Astyanax mexicanus: one gene and its partners. The protein of the gene in region 1 purifies or fractionates together with the protein of each later gene. This does not show direct contact. Links are inferred from orthologs where the notes say so. Each region holds a gene or a part of one and is shown in the gene's direction. Other genes may lie near its edges. The genes, in order: parp1, top1b, jun and xpc.

Evidence for each region.
Region 2: the proteins of parp1 (region 1) and top1b purify together in Homo sapiens (affinity purification with mass spectrometry; 4 studies listed by BioGRID and IntAct, with this or other methods). This does not show direct contact. The link is inferred for Astyanax mexicanus from reciprocal best matches to the Homo sapiens genes PARP1 and TOP1.
Region 3: the proteins of parp1 (region 1) and jun purify together in Homo sapiens (co-immunoprecipitation; 3 studies listed by BioGRID and IntAct, with this or other methods). This does not show direct contact. The link is inferred for Astyanax mexicanus from reciprocal best matches to the Homo sapiens genes PARP1 and JUN.
Region 4: the proteins of parp1 (region 1) and xpc purify together in Homo sapiens (affinity purification with mass spectrometry; 4 studies listed by BioGRID and IntAct, counting the BioPlex papers as one, with this or other methods). This does not show direct contact. The link is inferred for Astyanax mexicanus from reciprocal best matches to the Homo sapiens genes PARP1 and XPC.

What each region holds. Positions count from the first base shown.
Region 1 is NC_064408.1:79,679,641-79,687,507, reverse strand, and holds the start of parp1 (poly [ADP-ribose] polymerase 1), read left to right. Parts: upstream 1-4,272; 5' UTR 4,273-4,384; coding exon 4,385-4,507; intron 4,508-5,481; coding exon 5,482-5,644; intron 5,645-6,199; coding exon 6,200-6,315; intron 6,316-6,442; coding exon 6,443-6,657; intron 6,658-6,665; exon of another isoform or gene 6,666-7,065; coding exon of another isoform or gene 7,066-7,867. Other genes in the region: adenosine receptor A2a-like, read right to left, coding at 7,066-7,867. UniProt on the Homo sapiens protein: Poly-ADP-ribosyltransferase that mediates poly-ADP-ribosylation of proteins and plays a key role in DNA repair.
Region 2 is NC_064420.1:49,261,248-49,269,257, reverse strand, and holds the start of top1b (DNA topoisomerase 1), read left to right. Parts: upstream 1-4,603; 5' UTR 4,604-4,726; coding exon 4,727-4,759; intron 4,760-5,153; coding exon 5,154-5,178; intron 5,179-8,010. Other genes in the region: zgc:114123 (protein spire homolog 1), read left to right, coding at 1,896-2,064. UniProt on the Homo sapiens protein: Releases the supercoiling and torsional tension of DNA introduced during the DNA replication and transcription by transiently cleaving and rejoining one strand of the DNA duplex.
Region 3 is NC_064408.1:62,906,395-62,914,200, forward strand, and holds jun (transcription factor AP-1), read left to right. Parts: upstream 1-4,593; 5' UTR 4,594-5,068; coding exon 5,069-6,040; 3' UTR 6,041-6,790; downstream 6,791-7,806. UniProt on the Homo sapiens protein: Transcription factor that recognizes and binds to the AP-1 consensus motif 5'-TGA[GC]TCA-3'.
Region 4 is NC_064419.1:49,674,335-49,681,828, forward strand, and holds the start of xpc (DNA repair protein complementing XP-C cells), read left to right. Parts: upstream 1-4,193; 5' UTR 4,194-4,226; coding exon 4,227-4,326; intron 4,327-6,847; coding exon 6,848-7,210; intron 7,211-7,494. UniProt on the Homo sapiens protein: Involved in global genome nucleotide excision repair (GG-NER) by acting as damage sensing and DNA-binding factor component of the XPC complex. Has only a low DNA repair activity by itself which is stimulated by RAD23B and RAD23A.

The sequences.
Region 1 (7,867 bases):
ATTCTTCCAAGAAATGCGACAATCCAAAGGTCCATTCATGTCATGGAGATGTTAACCATAATGTTTGTGGGTGATAACAGGTTGAGAATGTTAAACTTTTCAACAAAAAAAAAAACAACATTTCTGCTGAACTGTTGATGAAAGGCATTACACTGACATGGCAGGAACTAGTTTAGTGTCCCATGACTTTTGCCATGTCCCATAAAAAGTTAAGGAATGCTGAACTGACCAGCAGCATGTGTGTCTGGGGCCTCCTGCATTAAATGTGTATGTTCACTCTGACAATTCTAGCCAGACACCACAGCGCTGTCCACTGTGGGTGGTGATGCCTTCTATATCATATTCCTGATACACATTTGACACTGTGGATTGAGGAATGTCACACACTCAGAAATGGATTGTCACATCCGTTTGACACCTAATACAAGACCTTGCTCCAAACTCTGGTAATTTATATCACATTGTTATGAGCACACTGGCCAATTGCCTCACTCACAAGATAATACCACACAAATCATACAGGTGTGGGTGTTCCCAAGCAACGCTTCATGATCATTTTAAATTCTGCTATCCTATGACTTGTGGCATGTACGTGTAATAGGCTGTCTGACTCACCTAGGCTGCCAATACAGCCTCAGATTTTTCCTAGATTTTTGAACATTGCTGTGAGGATTTTTTGCGTGTGTTTAGACATTTGCATACACAGTGATCTGTGCAAGCAAAGCCAAAAGATTTAATATTAATTCTGTGTCAAATGCATATTTTTGCTTCCTCATTTAAGAGAATATCCACTTGATGGCAATGGCAGTCTGAAATACCTCTCTCCTCAGATACATACTGTATATTTACATTGTCAATATTAATATTGTAAATATTTTATATGGAACATATTAAGCACATTTTATCATTATCATAGTACATGTAGAATACCATAACATGTTTGCAAAAGATCATTTTTAAATACAATCTTGTTAAGTAAATGTAAGGTGAGGCGAGATAAATGATAGGAACCCCTTTCCTTTATACAGAAATAAGGAAATTGCTGCTGTAATTACTGTAAAGTCTTCAAACTGTAATGTTTGACCAATACTGTATGTAATGCTCATTCAAATTGTTTTAGTATTAGATCTTTGTCATTTTCTTAATCAATTTTTATGCATTCTTGTGCAGTGAATTTCAGTTGACTGGATACACTCTTATAAAAGGGGTTCATCAATGGTTCCTTAGTAAAATAATTGATTCTTTATAGAACAACTCTCCATGGACATGACCACAAGAAACATTTGAATGCTTAAGTGGGTTTTTGGTAGTGTAGAGTTTTCTTCACAGTGATGGAAAATCAAAAAAATATCCACTATAATTATAAATTAAAGAACTATTTTGATAAGAGTGTAAACAAATCACACGTCTTCATTTACTCAAATTTACTGGACTAAAAGATTCTCTGGCTGAGACCAATTAAAAAAAAACATAGTGATATTACTTTATTTTGACTTTTGACTCTGTTTTATGTTACTATGTTTAATGCAGTTTTGTAATGTTCATCATTTTTAAACGTCAGTGTCAAAATGCAGCAGCCATATTTATCTTGCCTTGGAGTAGAAACTTATGAACAGTGAATGGATAATTTCTCTGTAGATTCCTGTATATTCTCAGACCATCAGCAGCACCCATGTTTATCAGGACTGCATGCCTTCCTCTAAAGTCGCTGTTATAATCAATGCTGTAATTACTTACCCATTCCAATAGTTTATTTTCTACTGAACTGCTGGTGCAATCTGTGACAAATTCTATGTTCAAACTGGCAATGTATCATCTAATTATCACATAATAAAATATGTTACATAATGAAAAAAAAAATGCTTTTGCTCATTAAGACTGCTGCAAAGTGTAAACATACCCTATACACCATGAATTCAATCCATGCTTATCATCTCTTATCATCTCATCATTGCTGCACACTATGACAGTTCCTGAAAATTATATTATAAATATTTAAACCCTGTGGATTTATCTTGCAATGATTTACAGCTGTTGCCCTTAAACAGTCAAGTGAATTAGCTGTCTAATATTTCTTTGTAATAAGTGTCCAGAAATCTATCAGTCACTGGAGGTTAACCTACTTTATGTGGAAAAAAATGTATCTATTTATCAGGATCCCACAGAACTACCACACGGCAAGTATCAATTGGGTGATGGATCATTCTCAGCACTGCAGTGACACTTGCACGGTGATGGCAAAGTTGATCAGACACAGCAGTGCTGCTGGTGTTATTAAACGCCTCAGTTTTATTGCTGCACTGACAGGCCTATAATTGAAGAATAGGGTGAAAAGAGATAATAAAGTATACAGACAAACAGGAGGACTAGAGTCTATATTATTCAATATATATTATATAGAGTCTATAATTACACTATTTAGCACTGTAAAACACAAAACGTAATATTGTTCTCTTTAATCAAAATTATAAGCCAACTAAACAAGAAATAATGAATGGCGCCATAAAATATAGCAAACTAACTGCCTTAACTAACATTATCAAGTTTCTTGTTAGAAGTTCGCCTAAGTAAATCATTTGTGTTGGAAACTTTACAAATTGTAATAGTTGAAAACTACTTGAGGCCAAGCCAACTACTCTGCACACCTGATGTTGTTTGCATATTCGGCGTATCCTTCCACCTCTCACTCACTATCAGTGTGTAGTCATTCTCTAAAAGGTGTCTTTTCTTGGAATTTATATGTATATATTTATATGTGTTTTATCGTAGTTAACTGCCTGGTCTCAGTTAATGACATATACATAACAGTCATAAATTCTCAGTTGCCAACTTAAATTCACAAAAGTATTGTGCTCCTTATGTTTGTTGGATTTATGATAAAATATGTGATTGACACAAGTTAATTGTTCTAGTTGATCTTAAAGGATAGTCAGCACGTTTTATAGAATCTAAATCAGGCCAACTAACAGAACAAATTGAATTTTTAAGTTGGTGAGTCTTAATAATAAAGTTTTTTATGCATATAAAAAAGATTATCTGAACTAAAGATTTCTAGATTTCTTTTTTCAAAACTTAAAAGTTTGAGTTCAGAAAACTCCAGAGAACTCGAACGTCCCAACTAAGCTTCCATAATATATTTGCACTGTAGTAAAATGCTTTCATTTTTAATGTGCATTTATGTACCATCCTTCTCCTTTACTTGCAGAAACAATGCTGTGCGTCGATCACCTGGCCAGTGTTTTTTAACCAGTCGGCCGCCGCCCCCCAGTGGGACGTTGAGGTACTGCAAGAGGGTCGCAGGTCAAAATGAATATATATTTATTTATTTTGCAAAGTAAAAATTCTTCCAATATATAGGTAATTCAGAAAATGTAAAGTAAGATGTAGCAGAAATTTATTCAATTTACAAAACATGTTTAGGTCGAGCTCGTTGATGGTTTCATGGAGTAAATTATTAATACAGTTTTTGGGACAAGAAAATAATGAAGCTGCAACATCTACAAGTGCAAGCATAAATTAAACCAAGAAAAAACAAGAAAAGCAAACATAAATTAAAATTAACAAATATAATAGGCTCCATGTTCACAGGAACCAAATAAAAGAAAGCAAATAAAATATGATTAAAGGTTTTGCGGTGCATACACACATATTTTAGGAATGCCAACATTATTAAAATATTGGAAAAACATGCAAAATAAAAAAAGCCTAAATCTAGAATTCCTATTAGAACCATTATGCTTTATTTTGACAAATTATACCAGAGGAAGTAACATAGAAACCAGATATTAATAGCAAGAATTCTTCTTTTGATTGCTAAGTAAATTAGTTGATAGTGGAAAACAAATAACATAATGGAGGGAAGGGGATAATGATTTGTATTTAATGAAAAACATGCTAACCTACAAAAAACTACAATTAAAAACTGAAAAAAAAAAATTTATAAAACAAAAAAAATATTTCTGACAAAATAGCGCCCAGTTTTTCAGTTATTATACACGTAATGTATGTATTTACTTTTTTCTGTACTCTTAGATATAGCTGCATTTTTTCTTCCTTAAGGAATTGTATAAGGGCTTTAAAATAAGACATATTATACCTGTATTGTCCTTAAAGCACAAATGTTAAACAAAAAAATATGTTAAAAAGTTTTGCGGCGGGTTACCCTGACACAGAGGACAGAATCACTTACATGCGCTTCAGATCCACGGCGGTGTGGGGGTGCTGGGGCTGACCCGCCTCTGTGACTCTGAGCTCGATTAGCGGTGTCTGAAACCCTCATTGTGTTGGTGTCGATTGGTGAGGTCTGGTATTCTGCGCGGGCTGGGATTGTTCAGTGTTCACTCTGAAGCCGCTGTTTGTGTTTTTGCACAGTTGAATATTGGAGATGGCCGATGCGCAGGACGACAAGCGGTACAAAGCTGAATATGCGAAGAGCGGGCGAGCCTCCTGTAAGAAATGCAAGGACAACATCGCTAAGGACTCTCTGAGGATGGCCATCATGGTGCAGGTACGGAGCGCTGCACGCCGTGCAGGAGGAGCCGGAGCCGGGGTTTAAACAGTGTCTGAAACACGGGTTTAAAACCCCGATTAGTGTAGTTAATTAATTATCCCGGGCCTGTCTCTGAACTCACCACATTCACCACAGGGCCAGCCAGACTCTCCGCCTCATTTAACGTCTTATTGAGAATGAATTTTATACCGTTCCACCTTAAACGTTGCCCGGTAACACTGTGGGCCCACAGGCGGCAGCGTGTAGCTGATACGCCATTTAAGGTGGAACCGAAAATCACAATAACAAGCATGAGAAAGAGGAACCAGCAGCTCGAGCTGTTCCAGGCCTGAGTCAGTCCCGCTGCATGAGGCGCTGCAACTGGCTGCCTATCAGCTAAATAAAGGGATGGATGTTTATTCTAGTTACTGCTTTAACACAAAAACACTCCTAATGGAAAATACATTTACAACATGTTACCAAAGTATTGTACACTCAGTCTCCTTCAGAAAAAGGATATTTGACCATACCATTTTTCATTTTAAATTATTTTACATTCACTGCTTTTAAGTTGTGTGTTTTATTTTATATTAAGTGTAGTTCCACAGGTTTAAAGCACTGCAAAGGAAACAAAGGAATTCAGAGATTTAGTGAGAACTTAACTACAGGAACTCTGCTTTGTGTACAGTGGGGGTGTACAGCTTTATAGCATGTTAACATACTGTAAAATACTGTATAACAGATCAACAGTGAGCCTACACAAGCCTGTATTTACTCTTGTTGTTAACTATTATCTTGAGCATTTATTTCTACATAAAGTTTTATTTATGTATTTAAAATACAAATGCATTTTCTGGTGCTTTGTTTGTTTATGATGGTAAGTTGTCTGTTTATGTCCAAATAATAAAGTGTTTGTAAGTGGTCATTTGTCTCAACTTCTTTGGTTGCAGAAGTGATGAATGAAATTAAGGTTTTTGTGTTTTACTCCACAGTCGCCCATGTTTGATGGAAAAGTTCCACACTGGCATCATTTCTCCTGCTTTTGGCATCGAGCTGCAGTGCAGGCGACCTCAGACATATCTGGCTTTACCGATCTCCGCTGGGAGGACCAGGAGAAGGTGAAAAAAGCGATTGAAGGTGGAGGCGCTCCTGGAGGTAATTGTATTTTATTATTTAGATAAATAAGACAAAGCACAATCTTACCAAACGAGCAGTATAACATGTTCAGTTAGTTAGAGGGTGTCATAGTAATTCGGGGAAAAAGAGGAGAATTTTGCTTGAACAGCAGTGTTTTTAACACCACACAAAAAGAGTGTTGATCAGCTCCATTTACTTTTAAGTCCACCACCTTCCATAGAAGAGAAGCTGCATCTCTGGTTGAAGATTCTAGATTTAGTACATTTAGCCAAACATTCTTGCTCAGAGAGATGTCTGTTATGAAGCTCCAGTAAAGCGTCACAGCACCTGATGTTTCTGTCCCATCTGAACCTTGTAACTGAGATTCCACTTTAAAAATGATCAGATCAGATGTATGAACATTTGGGAGGATGTTTTTTTAAATTCAGCTATACATACATATATATATATATATATATGTATATATATGTATATATACAGGAAAATAAACTCTCGGAAGTGGACATGGTCTGAATAAGTTGTATACTGGGCAGTGGTATAGATCATTGTTTCTGTATCTTTTAATTCTCTCAGCAAAAAGTGATCAGAAAGGAGCCGCTAAAGGAGAGAAGACGCTTAATGACTTTGCAGTGGAATATGCTAAATCCAACAGAAGCACCTGCAAGGGCTGCGATCAGAAAATTGAGAAGGTACATTACTGATGCCTTTATATATTATTGTTTTAGCAGGTCATGACTATATTTGAGTTTTCATTAATGTAACCCTGCTGAAATTAAGAATTGGTTAAAACATTTTTACGACTTTGCTATACTTCAGGATCAGATTCGTGTGTCAAAGAAAACAGTGGACCCCGAAAAGCCTCAGTTGGGCCTAATCGATCGCTGGTACCACACAAGTTGCTTTGTGAGCCGGCGTGAGGAGCTGGTCTTTAAACCTGAGTACAGTGCAGCTCAGCTTAAAGGCTTTGCTGCCCTACGAGCCGAGGACAAGGACGAGCTGAAGAAACGACTGCCTGCTGTTAAGACTGAAGGGTGAGTGTCAGCCTGTATACTAATCATAGTGTCTTATGCAAAATACAAATACACTTTAACAATTGTATTGTTGTTTTTGTAATGTAAAGTACAGTTCAGTTTTATTTGTATTGAAATCATTGCAGAAAAGTTGTTTTTTTTCTCTGCACAGTCACACTTTTCATTCAGTTTTTTTTCCAAAATATGATTGTATGCATATTATTTTAGTTCCCATGACTTTGCCTGTAACTTTTGTAAGCCCTATTATGCAGTGTAGCAAGCAGTTCAGTAACTGGGAATGACATATGTTCTGCTTGAATGTTAAAACGTTTTTAAGCCTAAACAAAATCATGAATCATGTTTGAGAAGTTATAGTTATTACAGGAAAAATTAACTGCCTCAGGATGTTTGTGTGTTTGTACCTCCACCCTAATCCTCTCCATCTCTGACACCTCTGAAGCACAGGAAGATTCCCTTGAAGGCTTCTCTGAAACTCTTCATCTTGTAGGCATAGAGGAACGGGTTGACAGCTGAGTTAGCATGGGAGAGGATGATGGCAGTGAGCAGCAAGGGCAGGGGCACAGGGCAGGTTGGGCACAGTAGCAGAAAGCAGTTGATCACATGCAGCGGGATCCAGCAGACAGTGAAGAGGAAGAGGACTAGGAAAAGTGAGGTGGCAGTCTTCATTTCTTTCTTAATATTTGCCGCTCCATCAGCTCCACCGCCTGCCACGCCTCGTTCTGCAGCGATTCTCCTGACCTGGTGCTTGACTGTGACAAAAATCTGCGCATAGATGAGAAACATGACCACTAGGGGCGTCAGCACGCAGGCGAAGAAGTTGAAGTAGACCATGTAGGTCATGTCCACCACCAGCACGAAGAAGCAGTAGCCTGAGTCGGGTGGGGTTTTGTGCCAGCCCATTATGGGCACCAAGCCAATGAGGAAGGCTAAAACCCAGGTGACCAGAATGACCAACAGTGCGTTGCGTGGCGTCATTAGGCTGTGGTAGCGAAAAGGCATGAAGATGGCCACATAACGCTCCACTGCCACAGCCAGCAAGCTGAATATGGAACTTTGGGTCAACATGATGAGCACAGACAGCATGAGCAGGCACAGGTACAGGTTGTTGCGCGGGATGCCAGTGTCTGTCAGGATGGCACAGGGAATGGCCAGTGCACCCACACACACGTCCGCCACTGCAAGAGATACCAAAAAGTAGTTGGTAACTGTG
Region 2 (8,010 bases), on another chromosome or scaffold:
ATCTAAATCTGAAGTGTACCTTTTTAAGCTTTGAGCAGCAGGTCTTCTAAAATGTATTTAAAAACATTCAGAATGATTTTTCACACAGTTCCGTTTTTGTTTCCTGTGCAGAAAACAGTCAGAATGTACCGATTTCCCCCGGGGTGAAACATTTGCATTATAATGGTTTAAATACCTTCCCTCTGTGTGGTTCCTCATTCAGAATCAGTCCAGACTACAACACTCCTTATAGCTTCAGTCAGTGTGAATGGGTGGGGCTGAACCGCTGCAGGGTAAAGAGGTGGAAAGGTAAACGCTCTGCTTTTGTTTTGAATGAATTCGGATCGAGCTGTTTACACGTGTGAACAGTGTGAAGCAGAGTGTGAACAGTGCACAAGTGTTTCTATATAGTGAGTGCGTAACTAAGCTAAAACTAATATTTTAAAATTAGGGCTGTGTTTAGAATTGTTTCCCTAATAATAAGAAACACATAAAAATAAATAAAATATAAATAACACATTAAAAAGAGGATCTTTAACATAAAATTACAGCAGATAAATAGGTAAAAAGCTTTATTAAGCACAATCACTATTGATCCAGAACTGATACAAATGCTTCCCTCTGCTGACAACTTTTATGGAGATGCGGAATTCATTTTCCAGCAGGACTTGGCACACTGCCCACACTGCAGAAAGTATCGATTGATCTTGTATAATATTTAAATTTTTATTTTTTTATTGGCTGTAAGCCAATTATATAATACATCTATATAATGAGTTTCATATTTTCAACTGAATTACTGAAATAAAGTAACTTTTCAATAATATTTGATTTTTTGCACTAGATGCACTAGTATATAACTACTGAAAAACCCAATAACTTAAATTATAAAATCCCTGATAGTTGTACAAAATGCAGAACAGAGAAGGGAACCCTGTTTTACTACATGTGGAAATGCAAACGTACAATAATTAAAAAATAAAAATAAAAACGGACAGTCTCTACCATAATTCACCAAAGAAATCCCTTTATTCTCAAGATCTGTATCATACCAAAAACACTGGCCCTAAAGAACACATGAGAGTAATATGCTTTTCCTTTGCTTATTCCATGCAAAGCTTTTTAATGCTGGACATTAGAAAAGTTGTGGATTTATTAAATTTCTTCTTGTTTATCGATTGAAAGACTTGCAAATACAATTTAACAAAAAATTGTCATGTTTAAGGTTTTTTTTTTTAGTAAACTTTATTAAAAATCATTTTTTTTGTTTACAAATACAAAAATCAAATACAAAATATCATCACATTTCATCACATTTTCTCACATATCAAAATAGTAACATTAAGTTAAAAGGTCAGAAAGTCCCATATTTTTATTGTTTTTTTTTCTATCAATAGCCCGTCTTCTTTTCAGTTCTCTTACAATTTGTTTAAACACAGTATCACTTGGTCTTCCTTTCCAGGGGTGGTCCTGATGAGTGCCAGTTTCATCATTTGATGGTCTTTTGAAAGTAATCTCAAGTACATTCACAGTATTAATTTATGTATAAGTACAATGTTTAGTACTCCACATGAGAGAAAACCAACACAGAGCCATTATTATTATTATTATTATTATTATTATTATTATTATTATTATTATTATTATTATTTGGGTGTTGGATCATTTATTCTCAGCATTGCAGTGATTAGCAGTGATTAGCAGTGATTAGCATGGTAGTGGTGTATGAGGTATTTTGTGTGTGTGTTTAGCTGGTACAGTGAGTGGATCAGATACAGCAGTGCTGTTGGAGTTCTTAAACACCTCATTGTTTCATTGTTGCTGCTCAGTGCTCCTACAGTATATGATCAGTGGAGCTGAAATATGGATGATGGAGGTGTTTGTGACTGATGGGTTTGGTTTTGTCCCTTTCCCAGGGTTCCTCTGGTTCTAGAAGCTTGTATGTCCAGCTCGGTGTCCCTCCACAGCCTGGCGATGAGGGACTGGCACAGTCAGGACGTCTGCTCGGGCTGCCAGGACCTTCTGGTGGAGGCCTGTGATACAGCACAGTCCCGTTGCCCGATCACTGACCCTCAGGAGATCTGACCCTCAGAACCGGGTCAGGCGTTTTTATCGCGTGCGGACGCTGCAGGTGGATGCTGGCGTGAATTTTTTTTGGTGTTTGTCTTAAGATATTGTTGTGTTTTTCTCATTTTTACACAGTATTTTGGTGCTTCTAAGCTCCACTTTAACACTGTTCCTATAGCCACGTTCACTGTGGAGGTGTGTCCTGTTTTTTTCCGTGTGCGTTTATTTTTTATTGTTAGAGATCTGGTTTAATTTTTGGGCTGCTAATCACGGTGGCGTTCACTCGTAACAGCGTTCTAGTTGTATGAAATGTTTACCTTTTTTTAAAGACAGTTTTAAATGTAATATTAAGGTAAATAAATGTATTTTTTTCTATATTTGGTCTCCTGTAGTCTCTCTTTGTTATTTATTTTTCTTTTTCTTTTTTTCCTTTTCTTTTCTGACTTGCATTAGCACAGTATTGCATGTCCCCACTGATTGACAGAATTTTAATCTAAAACCTGTTACGGTAAGTCCAAAAAAAAGTAAATAAATGCATATTTTTAGTTTACTTAAACTATTTTAATTTTTAAACTATTTTTAATCACTTCATTTGAGAGTGATTCAAAGTTTTTAAACACTTCTATTGGTTTAGTAGTCTAGTATCTGCAGTGCTGTATGATCCAGAGAAGCTGCTTTATTATTTTATCTTTCTTAACAATTACTTTATTACTGCTTTTCTTCATCTGCCAGACTCTAATTCTTCTCTCGTGTTACGCTGAGCTAAAGCTGTTTCCATATGGGTCAGCCAGACATCTTCCTGTAGCAGTTTCTGGTCTGTAACAATGGAAATATACTGAGATTTGGAAAAGGATTTTTTTTAAATGTCAGTTTCTGAAGTCTTTGTCTGTAGTAAAGCAGTGATATAACAGATGAAGTTACTACTCTCTATTGCAGCATTCACACACTTACAGCATATTCACACTTTCATCATCATAATAACTAGATAAAGACACAGAGAACTCTGTAACTATTAAAAGTAGAAGTCTTTTCTTTTCTTTAGGGAAATTACAGATGAAGTCAGAGAGCGGTGAGTACTGTTTCCTACACCTTCAAATAAAGACTCTTAGAAACTGGAGAAAAAAAACTGCTACAGGAAGACGTCTGGCTGACCCACATGGAAACAGCTTTAGCTTTAGCCTTTAGCTCAGATTAACATGATTAAGGACTGAGTCTCAGTTTCAGCAGAGCAGAGAAGAGGAGAATTAGAATTATAGTGAATCTGACAGGTGAAGAAATTCTGCAGTAATAAAGTAATTGATAAGTTGGAAAATTAAAAAGCAGCACTGCTAATGGACTAAACACCATAGTTAAATAAAAAAGTATTCAAAAACGTTTGTGTGTTTTTTGTTTTAGAACAATAGAAATTACATTAACTTCCATTGAAAGTTAAGATGGTTTTATCTCCTCTGTAAAGTTGCTGTTTTCGTGTCTATTTTGAAGAATAAATCTGTTTTTCTTTAATATTGATCCACAATGCGAAACATTTTAAAATAATGAAAAAAAAAAAACACTGAATTGAAGGTATGTCCAAACTTGACTGGTACTGTACACACACACACACACACACACACACACACAATAATATATCTTCAATTCTCTCTCTCACTAGTGCATAGACTAGTGCATCTGAACAAATTTAAATATCATTAAAATGTACTTTATTTTAGTAATTCAGTTCAAAATATGAAACTCATATATTATATAGATGTATTACACACAGAGTGATCTATTTTAAGTGTTTATTTATTTTATTGTTGATTATTATGGCTTACAGCCAATGAAAACCTGAAAATCAGTGTCTCAGAAAGTTTGAATATTATATAATAAGACCAATTGGTACTTTTGGCAGTGTGGGCAGTGTGCCAAGTCCTGCTGGAAAAGGAAATCTGCATCTCCATAAAAGTTGTCAGTAGCAGAGGGAAGCTGTAAGATATGAAGTGCTGTAAGATTTTGTGGGAAAACAAAACTGCACTGACTTTAGACTTGATAATAAAACACAGTGGATCAACACCAGCAGATGACATGTCTCTCCAAACCATCACTGATAATCAGTAAATTAGACTGTATAAAAATCTAATTTTCTGAGACTCTGGTTTTGTTTTGTTTTTTTGTTATTAGCTATAAGCCATAATAATCATCAACAATAAAATAAATAAACGCTTAAAATAGATCCCTCTGTGTAATACATCTATACAATTGATTTACTGAAATAAAGCAACTTTTCAATTATATTCTATTTTTTTTTAAATAAATAAATAAGTCTCAGTACAGCTAATATACACTGACCCATTACCCACTCTCAATATAATACAGAGTACAGTGTTTGTGTGTGTGTGTGTTGATTTGTTTGTATTGTTTCTATATTTATAGTAGTGCTCACTCGATAGTGTGCACTGCGTAGTGCCCCCCACGCGTCGGATTCGGACTCGCCCCCCTCGCGAGCGGAGCGTGTGCTTGCGTGAGGAGTTTTTTTTGAACGGCGCTGCGCATGCGCAGTGGGGGAAGAGTGGGACTTAGCCTGATAAGCGAAGTGTCTGAGCTCCAGCGAGCTTTTCCCTACCGGCATCTGTCCCTCACACACTGTCTCTCTCTCTCTCACACTCTGCTCCAGCCTTCTCCAGCCCCTCACCGGCCCACCATGAGCGGGGACAACGGACACAGGCACCACCAGGTACCGAGCTCCAGCAAAACGCGAAGAAATACGGAGAAAAAGAGATAGAAATACAGCTTTTACTGCTTTATTTACTGTAACCTAGCTCCTAGCTTAGCTTTCTCTCTCTCTGTGTGTGTGGCTCTTATCTAATAACCTGGGTTAGCTAGCTGCTAATAGTAGCTGATTACAGTAGTTAAAAGGCATGGAAATTACAATATTAATTTTTAAATAGTGTATTAAATTTTTAAAAAGGTGTATATAAGGTTTTTAAGGGTTTGTTCTGTATGTTAAGTTGGCTGACCCCACGTTTGGCCATTTAAACTGCCCTCCTGTAGCTAACAGTGAACAATGTGCTGCTGTTCTAAATGAAAAATGAGGCGATTCCCGCACTAACCCCGCTGTTTTTCCACAGATGGACTCTGGATCTCGGTCTAACGGTGAGTTTTGAGCTAAATTTTTGTGTTTTGGGGCGATATTGGGGTGTTTAAAGCCTGTGAGAGCGCTGGATCCAGCAGGAGAGACTGTTAGTTTCTGAGAACAGAAATGGCGTCCCAGAGACTAAGTCCCCTCACCCTCACTCACAGCCGCCTATTGTTCAAAACCAGCGCCCAAAAACACGCTTTACCCCCGCGAATTCTCCAATATTCCCCGCGATCCCGACAGAACCGGAGGTGTTTTATAAGACTCCGAGCCCGGTTCGGTGGGTTCGGGCCGGGATCGGGTCGTATTTCAGCGCTGAAAGTGAGGAATGGGGGTTGAGGACTTAGTCTCTGCGCCATTTTCTTTTTCCTCTCTCTGCTCTCTGCCTGTAGTTACTGCACGAGCGAGTCAAAGAGCCGAATCGCCAGGAGTCGATTCACCAGAGGATAGCTACACGATTCTCTTATTAAAATCGAATTAAAACGCGAAATTAAGACGTATTTACTTAAATACTGCTTGTGGCAAAAAGAAAAGTGATTCACATACTGTATAATCACGTAAAAAACAGAAAACAAAAACAGAATTAAACAATAACAGAGGATATAGAATGATTTGACTAAATGATTCAGTGATTCAGTGGTATGTTAAAGTTAAAATGAACAGCAGTTATCTGTACACTCAGGCCTGTCACGATAATCACATTATCGATTTATTGTACGATACACGATACACATCTGATAATCTTGATATCGTCTATTATGTTTATTTGTAGTAATTTAGCCAGTAGTGACACATTTTTGGTGGAGGCTATGTCGTAAAATATATCCTTAAAACCAGGATTAAGCAAATAACACAGGGTAGAGATTGTAATCTTGATGATTCAGTAATATGTTAAAGTTAAAATGAACAGCAGTTACCTGTACACTCAGGCCTGTCACGATAATCACATTATCGATTTATTGTACGATACACGATACACATCTGATAATCTTGATATCATCTATTATGTTTATTTGCATGTTTATTTCTAGTAATTAGTAATTAGTCATGACATCAATTTTTGCTGGACAATATATCGTGAAATATGTCCTTAAAAACAGGACTAAGCATATAACACAAGGTAGAGATTGCATTAACTAAATGATTCAGTGATTCAGTGATGTGTTGCAGTTAAAATGAACAGCAGTTATCTGTACACTCAGGCATGTGACGATAATCACATTATCGATTTATCATACAATACACAAACATGACCGTAATAATATTTGAAATACTCGATAATCTCGTCTATTCAATTTTTGGTGAACGATATATATTTTCCCAGAAATTGTGATAATTTAACTTAAAACCAGGATTATGCAAATAAAACAAGGTAGAGAATGTTAACAGATACTTCAGTGATATGTTAAAATTTAACTGAACAGTATCTATACTGGCATAATACTGTAAAGTTATCTCGACGATTCAGTGATTCAGTTAGGTTTGTCACGATAGCCACATTTATCGATTTATCGTACAATACGCGTATATGACCTGGTTGATTATCAAATATCTTAATATTGTCTTTTATGTTTATTTGTATGTTTGGAGTAATTTAGCCAGTCGTGACACTAAATTGCAGTGGACGATATATCATAAAATATACCAAAAAACACAATTAACACATGTAACCAGACAATTCAGTGATATGTTAAAGTTTAACTGAGCAGTATCTATACTGACATACTACTGTGAAAGTATTGTTTTTTATTTGTATTTTTGTATTAATTTAGCCAGTCGTGACACCACTTTTTGGTGATTAATTATTATTATTATTATATTGTAAAATATATCCTTAAAACCAAGATTAAGCAAATTACACAAATTAGAGATTTTCCAGTAGATTATTCAGTGATTTGTTTAAGTTTAACTAAGCAGTATCTATATTGATGACATAATACTGTAAAAAAGGTGTATGTTTGTTGTATTTCTCAATTTTAGTTTAATACAGCAGTTTGTGAGGTAATCACATCGAATGAAACCCTATTGAAATGCTCTAAAACCAAATCATTTTACATTTTCATGAACCTAATAACAGAATGTAGAGAACGTAATCAAGATGATTCATTTAGGTCTGTCACGATAATTACATTATCGATTTATCGTACAATACATTTACATGCCCTCGAAGACATTTGATAATCTCAATATGTCTTATCTTTATTTGTATGTTTTGTAGTAATTTAGCCAGTCCTGACACCACTTAGCGGAGGACGATATAATTGATTTATCCCAGAAATTGTGATGATTTAAAGCAAGGATTAAGCAAATAACAAGATAAAGAATGTAACTAGATGACTCAGTGATATGTTAAAGTTGAAGCGTGTCTGTACAGGGTACGTAAATTCAATGAAATATACGTACTAAACAACAGTATCATCATTTTAAAACCGTTAGCTGAACGACACTGACGTAATAATGATAGAGTAGCATAGGGCTTGGAGGTTAATTGAATTATTTGATTAATCAGATGCTGTTTTAATGCAATTTACAAAATTGGATGATTTGAGATTGTGCATCTTTACATGTAGAATCTGCAGAGTGAATCTCTGTAGTATTAGAAACCTGTAACAAACTCTTTTATTTAACAGTGATTTACATATTTTACAGTTTTCCTAACTCTAATACAAGGAGGTTATGATTTGTTTAAATATTAAAAACTGCTTTATGAAAGATTGAAGGGGGCTGTTCACTATTAGTTAAAAACAAAATATTATAATTACATATAAAGCAAACAAATAGCTTGTGCATCACTTTTACTTTAAATCATATTTAAAAAATCTGAAGAAACTAAATAGAATTGTCCAGCC
Region 3 (7,806 bases), about 17 Mb from region 1:
GCACCACAGCTCAATGCTGGAAGACTTAATATTCTCTGGTTGCAGATTGGCATTGCCCATGGTAACCTTATAGGCTCAAGTGAGGTTGTTCTACAGCTTCCAATTCTACTGGCAATGCTTTTCTATGAAGACTATACAAGCTGTGTTTGTTCAGTTGAACACCTGTGTCAGCAATGGATGCACCTTACAGTAGCAGAATTCACTCCATAAAAAGGGTGCCTCTTTAACATGAATACTTATTTAGCTTTAAAAATACGAATAATCCTGAAAACTGCATGCGTTTTAATGCTAACTTGAATCTGTTTCTGTGTGTTCGTTTTTCACAGCTTCAGCATGAAGTAAATGTTAATTGCTCTGGCACTGTCTTTAAGGGAAGTTGATGAACCACATTTATACTAGGCCCTCCTCACAGACGTGGGGACCACCAGTGAGATGGATCTCCAAATACAGAGTCCCCCTTAGCTAATGGCAGGCCGTATGTCAAAGCAAACACACGTGCCGCAGCTATGGATACCTGATATTAGCACTACAGCCCTATTAAACGTTATAGTATACAGTACACACAAATGTATAAATAATGACTTTTTCCATGGGTGTAAGTAGAAAAGCTAAGGAGTGGGTATATTTTAAGGTCCAGACCAACCAGGGTGGCACAGACATAGAGACATATAACTACTGACAACATAAACATGACACATTTACACTCTGTCCTGCTAGACTGAAGACCAAGAATTCCCTTCACAAACCCATCTATATATAGCAGTCATTTTGTTTATTGTCAATTTAAACATGTCCACCTGACGCATGTTTATGTTTCACTCACCCATGTTTCAGATAACTGAGCTTAGACTGCATCAATACAGGTTTGCCTGTGAAAATCTATTTTAAGTTTTGTTATTTAAGGAAATACGGGTATTAAAGATGCCTTAGAATAAAATACTTAATTTACACTGCATCGTTAACCAGCAAATAGAAACAGAGCTTGTCATTTTATTTACTGGGTGGTAAATAGGATTTTAAAACCACAAAGTCACAAACGTAATTTTTCTGTATCACAGAACATCTTTCGAATGTTATAATCGGTATGCCTGTCATGAACACAATAAATGTACTTACAAATAAATGAAAATTGCTTGTGTGCTACTCTTTAAATGTTTGCTTATATATTGTAGTCATTTTTACTAAATATGATATAATTGTTTATATTAAATTCAAAAATTATTAAATTACTTTTCATTAAAACTATTTACATTTAAACTAAAATGTCTGAAATAAATCTTGTTCTCACACAATCAAACATAACCAGTAAAACAAAAAGAAAAAAACTAAAGTAACATGGAAACAGGGAAAAGGCATGCTGGGAAGCTGTTCCTCACTGTTAAGCCCATTTTACAATTTCTGGACTGTGCTGGACAAGGCCAAAAAAAAAAAAAAAACAAGAGCTACTTCAAAACAGAGAAGTCTCAGTTTCCATGTTGAACTAGTACTGGGCATTCCAGTTTCTGTCCTAGGGAAAGCATTGTGCTGTGCTGAAAGAGGATGCAGGATAAGAGGATACTGCTCTAGCACTTGACCTTTGTCTCACAGATTCACATGCCCATAAAACTCATCTGACCTTTAGACAAGCGCAGGGCCAATGGAAATGCATCTGAAACGGACAGTAGAACAAAATAAGCTGCTAATAAATGTGTATGACACATTAAACATTACCAGTCTGGATGTATTGTTAATCATACTTATTTACAGCAACTATGATACCTTAAATAAGCATAGCAACAATTTAAATCTCAAGAGTACACACAGACACACACAAACACACACACAGAGCTTCTTCAAAAGTTGTCCCGACAAGCCCAGTCAACCACAAAGCCACAAACGAGTGGATTTAAAAGCCTACTTTCGTTCTAATCTTCATCAACAAGCAATCAAAGGCAGTCAGATACAGGCATGTTTTGGAAAAAGCTTTACTTTTACATGAGGGTCCCAAACCTAAGGGCAGGATCCACAGCAATATGAACCTCAGCTAAACATAATGACGATAATCCTTTGATTGGCAGCTGCTAGTCTGCCAACAGCCCCCAGCAGGCCACAGAGCTTTCATTTTCTTTCTTTCTATTTCAACCAAAAATCTTATAGGACTTCCTTCTTCTCTCTTTATCTCTGCTAATCTGTACATCTAGCATTAGTGCGCACCGAATTTTCCATTCAGCAGTGATTCCCCCCAACACACTTCAGCCTAGATCCAACGCTGAAACAGAAATGATTAACAACTTGCCCAAGGCTTTCGATTGCGGATCAGAATAAGGATTATGTATGAGCAGCATGGCTGTGTTTCAGATTTCTGAACCTCTTCTTGCTAATACACTTTGTTTTGTACAGTAGATTTGTTTCAGCATAAGGCCATTAGGAAAAAGGGGCTGGGCAATAGATTTTGGATTGACCTACATTTATTGTTTAAATGCAAAATACCACAAGTCAGTCGTGCTGCACAGCATCACTGAACAAATAGAAATAGAAATACAAATATCTGAAAAGACAAAATAGTAAACCAAACACACTCTTTGGTACTGCAAATGTTGATTAAATAAAATCACTTTTATTTTTACATTATTTATCTACTTTATTACAATGCCATGATAAATAAACCAACAGAAACATTCTAAAATGTTTTATAGTTAAGAAAGTTTTTTTATCAGGTCCTTGATCAGTAAAGTGTGTTTTGTGTGATAACAAACACAATACAAGACAGAATATTACACAGACTGTCAATATGTCACATTGACTGTGCCAAATATAAGAGCTATGAAATAACCAGATTCATTCATATACACATTTATCTTTACATGTGTGAGAATGTATATATTACATTACACTCGGAAGATGCTTTTGTCCAAAGTGACTTATACAATAATGATGTTCATTTCGTAATAGAAGACATAGAAGTAGGTAAAAAATACAGGGCCAAAAGGAGACCAAAGGGAAATAGCAGGATAGAGGAAGATAGATTACAATCGGATATAATCTTTTTGTATTACATGGTATAACAGAGTTATACATGTGTTATATTCTTTGTAGTCATATTATGAAACATAAAGATATACAAAATATAATGTATATATGTGTTGGTGTGTATGTACCACGTTGATCTTAAATCTAAAATAGTCTGTTTTGAAAAGTATTGTAATAAATGTAAAATAGTGAATGTTAATTTCACAATAAGTGAGTAAAAATATTATTTTGCTGCATTCAGTCACAAATTAGAACCTTTAAATCTCAACCTTAACTTTAACAACTGCCTGTTGATGCCGTTTAACCATATAAGCTAAAATAATGACAGGGTTTAGGGCAGATTAAGGGTGAGGACTGAGCAGGAGGTCTAAACAGTGGGTTTTGGTGAACATCGACTGAGGACTGCCACGAGGAAACCTGAGTGCAACGTCATGCTGACGTGGTGTGTGTGTGTTGAGCTCTGGGTTCAGTGGAGCAGTGAAACAGAAATGTGCCAGAGACCGGGGACAAGTTTCACTTCAGAGCTCCTCTGGTGCTTTTCCTGTGAAGGTCCTGCGCAGACTGATAACAGAAACCAAAACAACTGCAGCTGAGCCCACACGTCAGACTCGCGCGAGCAGATAAACACACCAGCCCCAGCCTTAAAGCACAGTTTCAGATGTCTGTACTTTCCTCTGTCCCTCTGCATTTCGAGAGTTTGTTAGTCAGGCTTGTTGTGAAAGCGTCAGCCTCGCTTCTCGTTTTTTGTTTGTGTGAACTTTAGAGAGGCTCCCTGAGCTGGACCTGCTCTGTGGCCTGCTGTCACTCCACTGCAGACCACGCCCCCTCCACCTCCTATTGGCTGGAAGGGACCGTGAGTAAAAACACACTCTGCCACGACAAAAGCAGACTACTGCTCGTGTTTCGAAATTAATCTCCTGAACAAAACAAAAAAAAAGAAAAGTAGAAAAACACTTTCTAAACCTTAAGGCATGATTAACGATTATATTATTAATACCAGGCGAGTTATGTGTCACCACACTTATTATTTATGCTTTAAAAAACAGAACACAGACCGGACTCTCCCGTTCCATTATCAGCCTGTAGTTATATTTTGTACATATATATATATATATATATATATATATATATATATATATATATATATATATATATATATATATATATATATATATATATATATATATATATTTCACTTCTATAATAACACATACAAATAAAAAGAGCTTATAATAAAGTAATTAAAACATCTTTAAGCGAGCAGAAATCACGGTCTCCCCTCACACACTAACACTAGCTCCGTCCCATAGACACACACACACACACACACACACTGGTGTCCCGCCACAGTCTGAAGCAGCTAAAGCGCGTAACCAGATATTCAAAAACAATACGTAATCCCACAATGCAGCGCGCGCGCTCGTCCACTCGCAGCATTACCTCATCCCGTGAGCCTCCGCGCGCCGAAAGAATCTTCTGGTGGTCGTCTAGGCAACGCGCCACGGCTCGGCCCCCTCGACGCCCATAGCCAATCAGAGGCCGCGGTCATGACATCACCATCGGACCCCTATTTTTAGTGTGGCAGCGGCGGCAGATAAGGTTGGAGAGCGCGGCGGAGGAGCTCACAGCACACACGGGACAGGGAGAGGGAGGTACGGAGAGAGAGAGAGAGAGAAAGAGCGGAGAGGAGTTTAAAACAGAGAAACAACACACACAGTAGTCCCGTGAACAGACTGACAGCGCGAGAGAGGCGCAAGACCTCGTAGTTCCGACTGTTTTTACAACTTTTTTCAAACTTTTTCCTCTCGCGGGACAACGAGAGACAGAGAGAGAGAGGACGAGGCTCGAGAAGTTTGGGAAGCGGCTGCTAGCTCCTGCCCTTCTCCTCTTCTATTCTGAGAGACAACACTTCATTCACCAAGAGAGGCGAGCGCTTCTGAGTCGGACTTCCAGCTGAACTCCTCACACAGTGAGAGAGAGCTGTGGTGAAGATCTCTACCGCTCGCTGGTGAGTGAAACGGCTCCTCCACTCTCAGACAAAGTTTTGGTTTCTCCTTCTATGTCGACCAAGATGGAAACTACTTTCTACGACGACTCGCTGAGCGCAGCCTTTTCGCAGCACGACGCCGCCGCTTTCGGATACAACGCCAAGGTGCTGAAGCACAGCATGACGCTCAACCTCACCGACCCGGCCGGCACGCTCAAGCCGCACCTGCGGGCCAAGGCCAGCGACCTCCTCACGTCGCCGGACGTGGGCTTGCTTAAGCTGGCCTCTCCGGAGCTCGAGCGGCTCATCATCCAGTCCAGCAACGGGCTCATCACCACCACGCCCACGCCCACCCAGTTCCTGTGCCCCAAGAATGTCACGGACGAGCAGGAGGGCTTCGCGGAGGGCTTCGTGCGGGCCCTGGCCGAGCTGCACCACCAGCACATGCCCGGGACCTCGGCGCCCCCTCAGACCAGCACCACGGTCAACAGCTCCATGGCGGCGGCCCCGGCCGCGGCAGCCTACAGCTCGGCCCCGCCGCGCGCCGACCCGCCGGTCTACGCGGACCTGAGCACCTTTAACCCTGCCATCAGCAGCAGCGCGGCCCCGGGCTTCCCTGCCGTCAGCTACACCACCACGGCGCCTCAGCCCCTGGCGCCTCCACCACAACAGCAACAGGCGCCACAGCCGCTCCCCGTCCAGCACCCGCGGCTACAGGCACTCAAGGAGGAGCCGCAGACGGTGCCCGAGATGCCCGGGGAGACCCCGCCGCTGTCGCCCATCGACATGGAGAGCCAGGAGCGCATCAAGGCCGAGCGCAAGCGCATGCGTAACCGCATCGCCGCGTCCAAGTGCCGCAAGAGGAAGCTGGAGCGCATCTCACGCCTGGAGGACAAGGTGAAGACGCTCAAGTCTCAGAACTCCGAGCTCGCGTCTACGGCCAACATGCTGCGCGAGCAGGTGGCCCAGCTCAAGCAGAAAGTCATGAACCACGTGAACAGCGGCTGCCAGCTGATGTTGACGCAGCAGCTGCAGACCTTCTGAAGCGGGAACTCCAAGGAGCTGCAGAGAGGGCGCCGAGGAAAGAAGGGACAAACGGGCTGAAAGGACACGCTTGTGTAAAAGGGGCTGTGCACCAGAGCCTGCGGCGACGGGGGGCCGGTGAAGCCGTAAAGTGCTCCAGGACTGTCCCGGGGACCCTGTCTGGCCGCGTGCCGTGCAAAAGGACGTCCAGATGTGGAGCTTACCAGACCTCCACCAAGCTGGGTCCACAGCACCAGACAGCATGAAAGACTCACTCTGTTACTTTTATTACTGTTGTTTTCTAATGACGAAAGAAAGAGACTCAACCTTGTTCACTTTGACCAAGTCGTGCATGGACCGAAGCGTACAGGCGCACTCAGTATTAGAAAAAGAGAACTGCATTAGGGACTCTGCTCGGCCCATGTTGGCGGGCCACAGCAGGAAGTTGCGTCCTATAAAGTTAAAAAAAGACCCTTTGATAAGAGCTGCCTGACTTCTGAGTTGCAAAATGTCATTTTTGTTCTTCAGATGAATCAAATCGACGTTATTTGAGTTAGTCAAGCTTTCGACTTTTCTTTCGAAGTTTCTTTTTCTAAAAAGTTTCTTAATGAGGTTTCACTCATTGTTATTTGTAAATAAGATCAACAGGGAGTACTTAAGTTTACCATTTGTAATAAAAAGTGCTACGTAATTTTTTATGTTTGTTTTCTGAGCTGATCAGAAACTAATCAATATTTATGAACTGTAATAAAGGATGTCAAACGAAAACAATGGGTCTGTTGTGTCTGTAAATGGAACAAACATGTTGAAACATGTCATTCAGAGCCACTATTGACTAATGCTTCACTTCACACACACAGTCTTGAAGGTTCAGGTTTGTCTAGTGTAGCCATGCTCCAACAACGTCCACCTTACAACTTTACAAAAGTTACACACAGAATAAACAGACTACACACTACTATAGTAAAGACTATGTAGCACAGACATTTTCAATTAAAATAACTATATATATATTTAACATTTAAATGAGTACTAAAGTGGGACATGCAGCCTTCAGCACTATTTCAGTTCCTCAAGTGTTGTATAGTAGTTATAAATTCACAGTGTAGTGTAACATTAATATATGATATACACTAACATTAGGTATTGGCTAACTGTATCTACAGAGATAGCCAGTAATATTGAGGTATTCATTTGAACTTGGCAGGTAGTCACAAATAGCAAATAAATACATTAGAAATAAACAACAGATTAATAAGTTGTTTAAAGACCAAACAATAAACAAAACAAAATACGATATAATGTATACAAATGAAACAGCAATGCATCTACACTATCAAAAAGTATTGTTTATCATGTGTTTCAACAATAGAGCAGGAATTGCATCAGATTAAAGCCTACTGCTATTATAATCAATATTACATTTCGTCTTTGAACATGTAGGTATATGATGATCCTGCAGCTCTACTCTATAAAATGTACTTTGGACAAGGTCTTCTACAAGAACAACCTCATACACACCAGTTTCTTTAAAACGACATTTTTTTTAAACCTGGGACAATGTGCCACTAGAGGGCGCCGTTGTCCCTCTTTTGCTAGGTCACGCCGGAGTCTAGTTTGATCCTGGAGTAAACACTCCCTCTGCTGTTCAGTAAAATACACCAGTGTAAACTCATGAGCACTTTATAAAACGTGTTCAACTGTAATGTGGAACAATTAGGCTGAAGGAGAAGAAGGCAGGTAGGCTACACTGCCCTGTCCTAATGTAAAAGAAAGTACTTTGTCTC
Region 4 (7,494 bases), on another chromosome or scaffold:
ATGCTAGTACTTTGTTTCAGTAGCTAGCTAACAAGCTAACTCTTAAATCCCACCTTAAATAGTGAAACAGAATAGAAAATAAAATGAAATAAAAGCTAACAAAAGCTAATTTCAGCTAGTTTTATTAAAGGTTTGTTATGGTTATATAATGTTATGGTTGTTTATGCAGATTAAAAGATTAAAAAGTTAGCAGTTAAAGTTTTCTTTATTTTCAGAGTAAGTTTCAGAGTAAGTTATTCCAGAGTAATATTATACAATTTTATACAAGAGCAATTTGTACTTTCAGCAGTGTGCTAAGTCCTGCTGGAAAATGAAATACGCATCTCCATAAAAGTTGTCAGCAGACCCTTGTAAAAGAAAAGTGTAGGCTATTAAGTTTATTTAAGTATATTTAATTTAAGTATACTTAACATGGAAAAATACACAAATTAAAATACATACTTAAATACATACTGAATGTACTATTTTTGGAACAACTTACGGTAACTTATTAAATTGTGCTTTTGAGTGCTTTTTTCATACAACAAACTTAAGTAGTGTCAGGTCTTAGCCCTGTCTCGTGTCTCTGTGTGTCTTCCCCACGTGACCTGTGCTCCCCTGTGTCTCCCGTCTTAGTAGATTTCCACCTGTGTCTCATTTGTAGCTCCGCCCCTTCCCCAGGTGTTTCCAATTCTAGAGTGTTTCTTGTTTCCTTATATAGATCCCCTGTGCCACTTTGTCTCTGTCGGTCTTTGCACCTTCACCTGTCGTTCGTCTCTCTGTGTTTTCATAACGTTTCTCAGTGTCTCTCTTAGCCTTGGTTCCTTGTTTCTTGTTTATTTCTTGTTTTCTCGTTTATAGTTTATTTCCTTGTTTATTTCTAGTTTCTTGTTTTATTTCTTGTTCCCTAGCTCCCTGTATATACCCTGTTTGTGTTGATTCCTAGTTTAGCTCCTTGTATATATTCCCTGTTTGTTTATTTATATTATCTCTAGTTGGTTTAGTTTAGGTTCTTTGATTTGTTATTGGTTATTTTTGTATCTTTGTTTCATGTTACTTGTTCCTTGTTATCTTGTTATTTATTTATTAAATTATAATTTATTTTCACCCTACCTGCACTTGTGTCCGCCTCCTCGTCTCCCTGCCTGGGTCATCCGTGACAAGTAGATTTAAGTATGTGTGTTGTTTAAACATAATTTTTATGCACTTAAAGTATATTGTAAATGTAGCACTACTATTGATGCACGTATTATGTACACCTTAAAAAAAAGAAAAAAGAACTACACTAAAGTGAACTTTAAGCAGTATTTAATGCCAATATATATATTTTTTATCAACACAATGTATAATTTAAAGCATGGCTTAAAAATACATTTTAGGAAAATACAAAGAAAGTATATTCAATGTGTATTTTTTAAATAAAGTATATTAAATTAAAAATGCACTTTTAGTGTGCTTTACCTAATTTGAACATCCTTTTAAGTCCAAAGTCAGTGCAGTGTTTTCATGAGTTCATATGACAATAAAAATGCTAGTCAAATTTTTCTCAGTAGCTAGCTAACAAGCTAACTTTACCATTCCACCTTAAATGGTGCAACAGAATGAAAAATAAAATCAAATAAAAGCTACTTAATAAGCTAATTTTAGCTAGTTTAAATAAAATGTTGTTATGGTTATTATATAATGTTATGGTGGTTTATGCTGACTAAAAGATTAAAAAGTTAGCAGTTAAAGTTTTTTTTATTTTCCTCAGAGTAATATTGTATAAGACCAATTAGTACTTTCAGCAGTGTGGGCAGTGCGCCAAGTCCTGCTGGAAAATGAAATCTGTCAGTGCAGTGTTTTCATGAGTTCATATGACCATAAAAAATGCTAGTAATTATTCTTAGAAGTTAGCCAACAAGCTAACTTTCCTATTCCACCTTACAAGAAAATAATAAAAAAAGGTATTAAAAGCTAATTTTAGCTAGTTTTATTAAAGTTTGTGTTTGTTTATGCTGATTAAAAGATTAAAAAGTTAGCCGTTAAAGTTTTTTATTCTCCCCAGAGCCAAAAGACAGTTGCGCTGGAGCGCCATAAATCAGCGCTGCGTTAGATTTAATCATTTGGAGGAGCTGCAGAAGCTCTTCCTGACTCATCATCAGCTTCATCACTCTGAGTTTATTCTGCAGCAGCGACTGATTATTATTTAATAAACACTGCAGAACGAAGCCTTACTGAACACACAGACATAACGCATTAATAAAACTCATCATTAACCCTTTAGCTTTCTGCTCAACTGTTCTAACAAAACACATTCTGATTCACTGTGCTCCGTTCAAGCGTAACATTATAACTACCTCCTGTTTCTACTCCCATAACATTAAAACGCATTACTTTTTCAGCTCCACTGATCATACAGTGGCAGACATCCCAAGTTGCAAAAGTTGATTTCACCCCCCCCCCCCCCCCCAAAAAAAAATTGCACACACACCCAAAGGATAACGAAACTTTACTTTTAATTATACTTTTTTAAATTACATTTAGAGTATTCAGAGGTGAAATTAGTTTTCTTTTTTTACTTTTTGGAAGGACCGGCCTCTGCTTTCCTTTATTTTTTTTTGGAAAAAAAGCCTTTATTTGACAAACATTGACAGTTACAATATCACAAAAAATTGCACATCAAAATCATTTCATATCATATTACAATAATTATTAATATTGCCTCCGCCATGATCTGCTTTCTCTCACTCACTGAACAAATCCCGTCCGGGAGGGGGAAAAACACTGCCCGCCCACACTAAAAACTGAACCCTCTCTGTTTTTTCTCTCTCCTTCCCACACGCGATTAGAGAATAAAAGTCTGTGGCCTGTGTGGCGTTTGGGGCGCTCGTTCTGAATTCCGGGAGATTATATGTGACTCGCGGGCATCAGGGAGCCGCTACCCAAATGCGGGAGACTCCCGCAGCTTCAGGGAGACTTGGGTTGTCTGCAGTGGCTTGTAAAAACCTCAAGCTTAAGATTTGTGAAGTGCACAGCTTTATAGTTGTTCTGTGAACAGATTCTCCTGATCTACCTGAGCTGTGGATCTCTGCAGCTCCTCCAGAGTGATCATGGGTCTCGGCTGATCTCTGATCAGTGCTCTCCTGTTTGCTGGATCTGTTAGTTTGGATGGATGGTTGGTTCATGTCTTGGTAGGTTTGTAGAAACAGTTGTAGAATACTTTTTCAGGTCCATTTTTGGATGATTAAAGTTTAGGATTTTTTTTATAACCTAACCCTGCTTTAAATTTCTTCTCCACAACTTTATCTCTGATCTGTCTGGTGAGTTCCTCTTCGTCTTCATGATGCTGTTTGTTCACTAGTGTTTATTAACAAACCACTGAGGCCTTCACAGAACAGCTGTATTTATACTGAGACTAAATTACACACAGCTGGATTAAATACAAATAATAAATAATAAACCAAATTAAGTTAAAAATCAATAACACAAAACTATTAAAAATAAAATAATGAAGAAATAAAAAGTTAAAATAAAGAACTAAGAAAAAACTAAAACAGTTCAAATTAAGAATTAATAAGATTACGTAAAGCTGGTACACGGTGTTCACTAATAAACCAGGTTGTCTGAAGGTGGATAAAAGTTTATTTTACCAAATATTGATTCAAAAGAATTGAATAGATTCAGTTCAGAAATCAATATTTGGTGGAATAACCCTGGTTTGTTTTTAATCACAGTTTTTTTCATGCATCTTGGCATCACGTTCTCCTCCTCCACCAGTCTTACACACTGCTTTTGGATAACTTTATGCTGCTTTACTCCTGGTGTAAAAAATTCAAGCAGTTCAGTTTGGTGGTTTGATGGCTTGTGATCATCCATCTTCCTCTTGATTATATTCCAGAGGTTTTTAATTTGGTAAAATCAAAGAAACTCATCATTTTTAAGTGCTCTCTTATTTATTTTCAGCGCTGTATTGCTCGCTGTTCTTGTATTAACTCGGTGCAGTGCTGCCCCCCGCCGGTTGGTGCTCTCCTGGACGCGGGACGGGGCTGACAGGAAGCGGATGTGACGTGTAGAGGGGGGTGTGGTTTTTGGCAGTGGTGTGTTATGAAAGGATGGAGGGGGTGTTGGGTAACTGCAGGGTCTGAATGAGAGATTATACAACTTTACTCCACCTGTACTACAGTTTACCTGCCCTCATACCCGGAGAGCATTACAGCAGCAGCAGAGGGGCATTACAGGGGTATCAGAGGGGCTGGGGGGGCAACATGGCTAAACGTAAGCAGGCAGCAGATACTGGCTCTGAAAGAGACACAACAAAGAAGCTCCAGCAGAAGAGCAGAACTTCCAAAACCCACAACATCAAAGGTACTGAATAGATACATTCTATCACTGATCATCATTAATAAATAACAATGTAGCAAATACAGCACTCTCGCTTTTTATCCTACATTCAGTAAATGAATAGTAAAGTGATGTATCAGATTATGAAGGAACACATAATGAATCATGTAGTAACTTAAAAACAGTGTTAAACAAACCAAAATACTCTGTGAAGTATTTAGATACTCTTATCTGGGAGCTGTTTGTTAACTTTTAGCAGTTTCTGATGCTGGAAACTCTGATAAACTTATCCTGTACAACAGAGGAAACTCTCGCTCTTCCTTTCCTTTCCTGCAGTGGCCCTGATGAGTGCCAGTTCCATCATTATAACGTTTTTGATGGTCTTTGCAGTGACTGCACTTGAGGATACTTTTTTTAAGTTCTTAAAATTCTTCTTTTCGCATTGACTGACCTTAATTTTTTCTTAAAGTCATTTATATTTTATTTAACTTTACTTAGTTGAGTAGATCTTGATCTCATAATATGGATTAGAACAGGGGTTCAGCCCGGGTCCCACATTTATAAAATACAAACCAAACAAATTAATTTTTCAAAAATAGCCTTTAAAAACTTGTTTAAAAATACATATGCATGCAAAGTGAATTTAAGAGCATTTTTTACTGAGAAACTGAAGAGGAACATGTATAAAAGTTAGTACAATTAATTTAAATATCAAAACTGCACAAAATAAATAAGGCCACAAAATTAGATATTTCTCTTCTCTGCATTTCTCTGCATTTAGAGTACATTAGTAAAAAACTCTATCTATCTCTTTTTTCCCCCAAATATTAAAGACTATTACAAAATCAGTTGAGCATGAATTATTTTGCATTTTTTATTGTTTTGTCACAGTTTGTCGTTCTTGCCTACTCTCCCCATTTTGTGCATTTATCTTTATCCATTTTATTCTATTTTATTTTATCTTATATTTATCTATTTTAACAACTGCTCTTTTGAGTGTAAACTGGACTGTAAGATATGATGTGAATGACAATAAAATCTAACATTCTAAAAAATAAAAACGTTGAATTAGAAGGTGTGTTCAAACTATTAATTGGTGCTATATTTTAAAAAAGGTAAACCTGCCAAAACTAAAGGTAATAGGGTGGTTACATGGGTGTCTATTAGCTATACAGCTAACCTGCTAACATGCTGAAATCCCAGTTTGGGTGGATAAACTCTAAATTGGGAATGTTTTTTTTTGGCAATAAGACAAGAATGCTGAGATTCCAAAAATAAATACTCTAATTATAACAAAATACTTAATAAATAAATGTTGCGAGATCTGTCATGAAAAAGTATTTATCAATTTATAGTACGATATGTTGACTTTTCCTCTTATTAAACAGTATATTTTATTATCAGTGTTTTACGGTAACGGTGCTGTACTGTAATATGAGTGACTGCTGTAGGCTGGGAGATGTGTGTGAGTTACGAGGTTGTGTAACGTGCTGTTGTTAATGCGAGTGCAGTCATTTCTGCAGGCTGCAGCTGGTGAAGGGGGCGGGGTTTTGCATGGCTGCTCTTGTGCAGCTGTATTAACAGTAGCTGCTGCAGCATCTGCACACGCACACACACACACACACACTGTACACTATAAAGACTCTAATCTGTAAATTAAATTTGTTTACCATATTTTTCACACTATAAGGCGCACTAAATTATAAGGTGCATTATAATGCAACACTGACTAAGTTAGTTACACAGAAGTTAGATAAAGCTAAGCTAAGTAAATAAAACTGTAACTTTTAAATAAACCATCATCTTTTAAAGTTAAATGAGTGCTGGATGTTAATCTACACAGATTTCTCTCCTGAAAACTGTTTATTTGGGTGAGTAAAACGATTCCATTTATTTACAGTAAGATTAGATTTCCAGATTTTCACTAAGGCTGGGTGCAGCAGCATAAGCATTAGCATTAGCGGCTAACAGTAAATGCTGCCTGACAAAGCTACACTGAGGAACTCATTATTTTGAGATAGCAAGTCATTATTTTGAGACACTAAGTCAATATTCTGTGATAGCAAGTGTGATTGCTTATAATTTTTTTTTTTTTCAAAATAATGACTTACTATCGCAAAATCATGAAATAGTATCTCAAGATAATGACTAACTATCGATAGTATCACAAAAAAATGCGATAGCATAAATATATATATATATATATATATTTTTTTAATATTATTATTTTATGTGACGGGAATATGGCTTCCATACCCCCCCAATTAGAATAATTAAAGTTATTGCTTCATTACTCCAAATGGTGGCGCTATAATCCCTAAGTAAATAGGATTAATAAACCTGCAGTGAAAAATTATTGATTGTTAAATTGTGTGTCTAAAAAATAAATAACACCAATAAATCTGTAATTAATGGTATTTGATTATTTTACCTGAGTCTTTAATCCTCTTCAGTAACTCACGGATGCTGTGAAGTATCATACAGAATTGTATTGTGTGTGTATATATATATATATTTCTTATATATTTGGTTTGTATTTTATCAGAAAAGGCTTCTGCAGCCAAAACCGTGATGAAGAACCTCAAACCCAGAGTCCGAGCCTCCAGAAAATCAGATGATCCTTCAGATACGAAGAGAAGCAAATACTTCAAGAACAAAGAGCCTTTGGGGGCGGGGCCTATGAAGGCGGGGCGTCCGAAGGCGGGGCCCCTGAAGAAAGAGCCTCTGAAGGCGGAGCCTTATGATATGAGTGACTCCAGTGAGGACGTCAGTATAATATCTCCACATATCACTGCGCCGCCAATCAACCAGATCAAAGAAGAGGAAGATCAGAAGGAGGTAAAAAAAGAAGAGGAGGATGAGGAAGAGGAGGAGAGTGATGAAGACGAGGACTGGGAGGAGGTGGAAGGTGAGTTCATTCATGCTGTTGTGATCATCTGCACCTTAAAGGTAAAATAAACATCAGTCAGTAACTCTGATGAACTTATCCTGTACAACAGAGGGAACTCTCGCTCATCCTTTACTGGGCTGGTCCTGATGAGTGCCAGTTTCATCATCATAATGTGTTTGATGGTGTTTTTTGTGAATGCACTTGGGAATATTTTCAAAGTTGTTGAAATTCTTCTTTTCAGATTTTTCTTTAATTAGTTAAGTAAAGCTGACTGAGAGAATGCAGATATGTTCAAAGCTAAT